2 linked regions of the Schizosaccharomyces pombe genome follow. The gene in region 1 interacts genetically with each later gene. Each region holds a gene or a part of one and is shown on either strand. Other genes may lie near its edges.

Evidence for each region.
Region 2: mutations in dtd1 (region 1) and obr1 together harm fitness more than expected from each alone (negative genetic interaction), as found in Schizosaccharomyces pombe (one large-scale study listed by BioGRID).

The regions. Positions count from the first base shown.
Region 1 is NC_003424.3:3,647,506-3,651,129, reverse strand, and holds dtd1 (D-Tyr-tRNA deacylase), read right to left. Parts: upstream 1,738-3,624; 5' UTR 1,572-1,737; coding exon 1,529-1,571; exon of another isoform or gene 1,415-1,528; coding exon 1,381-1,414; exon of another isoform or gene 1,332-1,380; coding exon 1,303-1,331; exon of another isoform or gene 1,192-1,302; coding exon 1,072-1,191; exon of another isoform or gene 1,014-1,071; coding exon 870-1,013; exon of another isoform or gene 793-869; coding exon 789-792; exon of another isoform or gene 741-788; coding exon 665-740; 3' UTR 501-664; downstream 1-500. Other genes in the region: translation regulator Ppr4, read left to right, coding at 1-490; SPOM_SPAC8C9.04 (uncharacterized protein), read right to left, coding at 2,912-3,624. UniProt on the Schizosaccharomyces pombe protein: An aminoacyl-tRNA editing enzyme that deacylates mischarged D-aminoacyl-tRNAs. Also deacylates mischarged glycyl-tRNA(Ala), protecting cells against glycine mischarging by AlaRS.
Region 2 is NC_003424.3:2,093,599-2,097,194, reverse strand, and holds obr1 (NAD(P)H dehydrogenase (quinone)), read left to right. Parts: upstream 1-2,210; 5' UTR 2,211-2,303; coding exon 2,304-2,912; 3' UTR 2,913-3,085; downstream 3,086-3,596. Other genes in the region: SPOM_SPAC25A8.03C (uncharacterized protein), read left to right, coding at 1-813. UniProt on the Schizosaccharomyces pombe protein: Unknown. Target of pap1 transcription factor. Confers brefeldin A resistance in S.pombe.

The sequences.
Region 1 (3,624 bases):
TAAAAACATTCCTTCCCCGAGTGGTGTAATCCCTGCTTACAAGAGTGCTTTAAACGTGGCAGCCGAAACTTACTTTTCTTTTCTGGCAAGCGTTAACTCCTTTCAAGAATTGGACCAAGAATGGAGTAGACTCGAAAAGTTGGGATTTGAATACGATGACTCTTTACAAAACAAGCGAATTATTTGGCTGTTATATGACGACCGGCTTGATGCAGCTATCAAAAGAGTATATAATATATTTTTGTCTTCAAAGAGAATTGAGGAACTAATACCAGATGCATCTAGTCAAAATAGCATAATATCTTTCTTTTTATCTCCTGATTCTCCGTTATACTTTAGCACCCTGAAAGCATTGAGAGATAAGTTAGATATGGCGGTTGAAGACGACTTTGTGCGAATTAGTCAAGGTATTCTTGTTCCAACTGTAAAATACCTTCAAACCATAAGACGGGACAACGAAATATTATTTAATTTATTAGCCAAGGTCTAATATTTCAATTGTGAACTCAGCCGTCTCGCCGTATGCTGCCTTTGTCAAAAAATTGGACTTGTAAACTTAGCTCTGGGTGTTTTATTCCAAAGAGATAAAGATTACTGAATTTTAATTTCCAAAATCGTCAACTAGTTCTAATGGTTGAGTACGGATATCATTTAATAAATCTAATTATTCTTTAGTATCATACAAAATAGTCACTGGACCATTATTCACGAGCTGGACATTCATCATTGCCCCAAAAACACTATACATGGGTTAAATAGAGAATCTTAGTTATGATGATGATGCTTACCCCTCTAAAATCATAGTTAGTAAATTAAAACTCAAAATAAAGTACATTGGTTAAATGCAGACTGAGTTCACTGCTACTTACTCTTTATCTTGTCGCTTCCGAGGCTTTCTCCTAATGTTTTAACAACTTGTTCATACAATTCGATGGCTTCAGGACCCTTCATGCTTCTGTGAAAATCAGGTTTGGCACCTTTGTTAACACGAGCATGAAGAGTGAATTGGGATACTAATTATGTTAAAGAGGAGGCTCAATATTTATGATATTATCAAAAAAAGATGCTTACCGCAAAGGATTTCTCCTTGTATATCGGCAATCGTGCTCTTCCAGGGTTGTTCGGCATTGTCGAAAAGTTTCAATTTCAAAATCTTGTTTGACAGTTTCGTAACATCTTCGGGTGTGTCATCTGTTTTTTATTAGAGAAAGGGTTACAACGGACAACTTGAAGACAAGCCAAAAACGAGTTATTAATCATTCGAAGAAATTGCTTGCACGATTGATTTTTAAATATGCTCACCTGAACCTACTCCCAAAAGTATACAGTAACTGGGCGGATTAGAAGTCAACGAATTACGGGTTACAATTGTTGTCTTACCCTTGTTGAATGGCAGAAACAATTTTGTCATCAACTATAAACTCGTATTAGTAAATAAGTTCATAAACATTGAGTTTATTAATAATTTATTTTCTTATTACCGATTATAAAATCCGTCCAAACTTAGTATATATTGATTAATACTTACCAGAAACAGAAGCATTTAAAACTCGCTGAATTACTGCCTTCATGTTTTCTACTGTTCAAAAAAAAAAAAGGTAACGAAGGATGGACAGAACCGAAGACTATTAATAATAACAACAATAATATATACTACGACAACAAAACTGCAGAAGTAGTTTTAATAGTAGTAAAGCAAAAAATTCTATATAGCAGGTAGTGTGTTTGGTAAAGGGTATATTATACTGTTATCAAATAGAAAATTTATGGCATATAATAATTGAGTCGGCGATCTTAGATAAAAAGGAAAATACAGCTACGTTATGCGGTAAAAAGTCATGGCTGACTCCGGGATGAATATGAAATATACTCAAAAATAAGCGATTCATGGAAAAATTGTTAAAAGTTAATGTTTTCAACCGCCATGTAGATTTTGTCATTTGTTTAAATTATATACACTGGTCTAATTTACTATTTAAAATACTTAGTACATGCGCAACTTAATGTAAAGCAAGCATACGGAATAGTACGGGAAAGGGTATCGGGTAGGAAATGGTGATTGTGAGCCGATGTATCCCAAAACTAGAACTAAAGGGTATCCGAAGCGTAAAAAGTTCCACGGCCTCAAAATCCCATATAAACTTACATTCTACACTTACTTAACCCAGACTAAAAAAATTAAAAAAAGAAAACATGGGAGAGGAAGAAAACTTACACAAGTGAAACGAGTAAACTGAAATAGTAAAAGCCATTTATTTCGCAAAACTTGAATTGCTGAATCTAATAGGTATAATCCGTACCATCGGAATCAACTTAAAAGATTGAGCAATGTACAGCAAATTTATGTGTATATATGTGCGCATATGGCTGCATGAATAGTTTAGAAACAACATGCGCAAAGAAAGCACATAGCAAAGAGGAAAAGGTATAAAGACTTGAAAAAACAGCATGTTATGCTAGTCAAATCATTACAAACAAAATCAAAGAAAACATAACGCAAACACTTCAGTGGCATAGTCGATCACACAATAATATCCAAAGTGATATAATGGAAAGCAATTAAATACGAAAAAAAAAATCCTTAAATACAAAGATGGAGATTTTTTAAAATTAAGACTACCCAAACCAACTTATGGAAACTAATGAGTGATTTGAAAAGAAAAAGACTGGAATACAAAACAGCAAAATAATGAACGATCGATTGTTAGATCAACAATTCGGCTTTATTGTCGAATAATTAAACATCAATAATCCAATTTCAAACAAATAGCCCAGCAACACTCATTCACTCACTCAAATCATCATCATCATCATCATCATCGACACCGTCATGTCGCTAAAAGGTGAATTTTTCAACATACAAAAATAAAAGACGGAAATCAAACATATGCCCAATGCTTCCAGGTAAACCCTAGTGGAACAGTTTGCCAAAAGACTTTTTCATACGTTTGAACCAAGACTTCTTGGGAGCTGCTTCACCATCAGTGGCGGTTTGTGCCTTTCCATCAGCCGTCTCATTCTCAGCTGTCGCAGTGGCACCAGCAGCAGGAGCTGGCTTGGTAGTGCCGGCAGCATGTTCCTCAGTAGCAGAAACAGGAGTAGGTTTGGTGGTGGCAGAACCAGGAGTAGGTTTGGTGGTGGCAGAACCAGGAGAAGGTATGGTGGTAGCAGAACCAGAACCAGCAGCATGTTTAGACTCGACGGTATCAGCAGAAGTCGGGATAGGAGCAGCAGCTTCAATAGCGGACTTCTTTCCTCCTGGTACAGCAGCCGACGTAGTACCGGGACTGGAGGGAGCAGATGCTTGTTTTGAAGGTCTACGTGCATGCTTGGAGGACTGGGCTGATTTGGCAGGCGTGGAAGGAGTCGTTGGCTCTTGTCCAGTAGAAGAGGGTTTCCTGGCAACCTTATGTTTCTCGGCGGACGCCTTGTCATGTTTTGACACCCTTTTGGAAGCAGTGGTGGTTTCCTTGGAGAAATCATGAGCAGTCTCGGTAGGGGCAGTGACAGCTTCTTGCACTGGGTGTTCTGCAGTGGTACCTCCAACGGCCACTGGGTTTTCAGACTCGGTGGGAATGGTCGAGGGGACATTTACCTCGTTCTTGACAGTGGAAGAGACACCCT
Region 2 (3,596 bases), 1.6 Mb from region 1:
TTTAAGAGCATGTTGACATCTGTGAGATATGCAAAGCATGGAGATCATATTGATATATATGTTAGTGATCCATTAACGTGGAACCATACTGATACAAATCCTTGCTTTGTATTGGCATTACAGGTAATTAGCTCCTTCGGTCATGATTTATTTCGTCAGAGTAACGGCGCCATGATGATGGAACGGTGCTGGCTTGGTCCAGAGCACTTTTTAAACGAATTCTTCACTCTAAATACTCACCAAAAAGTTAGCTCTTTGAATTACCATTTAGCATTTCAACAAGCTAGGATTAATGTTCAGCAAGGGTTTAGCGACAGCAGGGCTAAACGGTACTTTTCCGGTGTTAAACAAGTATTTTGGTCCTTTTTTAGCACGCAAAAACTCACATACTATCCTACGAAAGCCATTAGATTTTTTGAACGATTGTCAAAACAGTTTCCGCACCACAGTCTGCTTTTGATGGACGTGTGTCACGTTGACAAATCCTTGCCTGGAATCAATGCACCGTCTGTTTTAAGTATGGAAAATGATTTTTCTACAAAAAAAATGTCTTCTAACATTGGGCACGTGTTTCAAAATGAGACCGTCAAATATGTGTTTCCCACACCTTTATATCTAGTTTCAGATATACTTCAGCTTGCTACTCATAATCGGTCCTTCATTTGTTCACTTCCCCATTTCTTAAGGCGATGGTCTAATGAACATGGTAGAAAGTTTTTCGTTCCTGTAGAACCGTCATCTAAAAACCTAAAAGTTCCTTATTCCTTCAACAATTACTACGTTGTCTCGTCTATGCCAACTTATTATTACTAAATGGCAAGTACTATTTTTCTTATTCTTTGTTCAACTTGAGAGGTGCACTAAGCGGGCTAGTGAATTGACTTTAGTTATTTATTTATTTATTTTTTGAAAATTGGTTATAAATAAAATAGCTTTAAATTGGAAAGAATATCATATTCAGTTAGGGTTGAAAAGGTTAAATAATGAAATTGCCAGTGTCAACTCGAAAGAGAATGCGAGCTTTAAACTGCATAAATAATTAAATATCGGAAATTTATACAATCTTCAAACGCAAGCCGTATTCAGTTTTGTATTGAACATCGATTGAATTGCTATAATCTTCCTATTAAAGATTTTGCAATAAACATTAATAATCCATTGAAATTTTTTTTTTTTTTTTTAAGAATCGAATTTTATTGTATTAAGACGTGATCCTAAACGCATTGTATAATATCATTGTGTTTTATTTTCCTGGGGTTTTTTTTTATTGCTTATTTAATTAATTAATTATTTATTTAATTAGTTAATTTATTTGCTTAGTTTATTACAACTCGTTCATCTTTTTATTTGGTTTTTTACTTTTAATTATTATTTCTTTTTTAATCATTCTTGAGAAATCGCTCTGTTTTGATTATGCGATTTATTTGCTATTGTCTTTTAGCACCTACAAATTTCTCAAGAATATTATCCTGTATGATGTTTTACATATGAATATATGAAATTGATTGATTTAAAATTGATACTATGATGAGAAAGGGAAGAGGTTTAACACTTCATTCTATAACCGTTTTCTTTTGTTTTCAGTGCTGACCAATTCCTTGCATACACAAAAACTTTCCAAGGATGATGATGGACTGGCTGACCATCAATGCATTTTGCACTTAAAATAGCGTACGTTTTATCGATTTACCGATGTTTTCCATTGGGTTGTGTTAAATTAGAGGTGACCGTAACCATGTTATTTTCCCAGTACTAAGTTAGTAGGAAAGCTATAGAGAAACCCAAAGTCCCCCACTTAGGCCAACAGTGGCGCAGCTACATCGATAAAGCAAAGATGAAAATAGCGATACAAAAGGTCAACACCAAAAACTCATCAAGCGAGCCAAAGTATGTAACCTCAGTTTACAGAAAATGGGACAGGTAATAACAAATGCCAACACCTGTGGAATGAAAGTATTTCAAGCACAAAATCGGTTTGTTTGATCTAAAGTGAGCATGAATGAGAGAGAAAGAAATAAAATAATAATAGAATCATTGTTTGAATAGGATTAGTCAGAAATGGTTCAATTTTCACAATCCTAGGATGAACCAAAGGTAGTTTACGTAATCTTGGTAATCAACCGCTGGTCCCAAAAAAACAGGAAATAAAAAAAAACACATCGGAGGCTTTCAAAAAATCTATATAAGGACGTAAAATTCCCTATATTTTTAAACGTTCCAAAGAAATTCAATCACAGCTTCATTCTTCACTGTCGTGCTTCGATTTCGTTATTTTATTACTCCAGCGTTTTATTAAACCCAGTATGTCTACCGCAAACACCGTCGCTATTGTGATTTATTCCACTTATGGCCATGTCGTCAAACTGGCTGAGGCCGAAAAGGCTGGCATTGAGAAAGCTGGTGGAAAAGCTGTCATTTATCAGTTCCCCGAGACATTGAGTCCTGAAATCTTGGAGAAGATGCATGCTGCACCCAAACCCAATTACCCTGTTGTTACACTCGATGTCTTAACGCAGTATGATGCCTTCCTCTTCGGTTATCCTACACGCTACGGCACTCCTCCTGCTCAGTTCCGTACTTTTTGGGACTCCACTGGTGGTTTATGGGTGCAAGGTGCTTTGCATGGAAAGTACTTTGGTCAGTTCTTTTCCACCGGTACCTTGGGCGGTGGTCAAGAAAGCACTGCTCTTACTGCCATGACCAGCTTTGTTCATCATGGAATGATTTTTGTACCTCTTGGCTATAAGAATACATTTTCACTCATGGCTAACGTTGAGTCCATTCATGGCGGCTCCAGCTGGGGCGCTGGTTCCTATGCTGGAGCCGACGGTTCTCGTAATGTATCCGATGATGAACTAGAAATTGCACGAATTCAAGGTGAGACTTTCTTCAAGACTGTTTTCCGCAAGTAAGACTTTGCGAATAGTATCTATTGAAACAGTGCAAATGATTGCACAATTTTGAGTTGAATCACCAACTGGCTTTTTTTGTTTACGCCCATGCATTGCATTGCTTGGCCAAGTAATGCACGTTTCGCTAGTTGATTGTTTATACCATAGAATGAATATTCAATTATTTCTCTTTTAAAGTAGAAGTCTTAGGAATGTATTTTCGCGTAATCCGTCACCTAATTGAGATGCTTAATGTAAAAAACATCCATTTTCTGTATCTCAACCATTCGATTTAGTAATGTGTCGTTTATAGCTAACTGAACAAAACGATATTTCTACGGATGTTCTCTCTTACAAATCGCTTTCGCCCTATATTCTTGGGAGTTATTATTTAATGCTCTTTTGCTATTTGTTAAAGACCACTCACTATTACTCGATTTTTCGACACGTGTGATGTATGTATGTATCGGCACTGATGATGATCAGAAAGACATCTTTCGATAATACCGCAACCATAAACTATCCCACGATTCCGTCTATCCTCGTTTGAGTTTCAATATTTTATTGTTCGTGCGAATTTAATAATTCAAGGTTATCACCTTTTTATTCTAGAGTTGTAAGTTTTTATATTAATTGCCTTTCTTTACTACTGCAGGTAAGTTTTGCTTATCAATCGAATCGTTCAAGGCTCCACCCCGCCGCAGA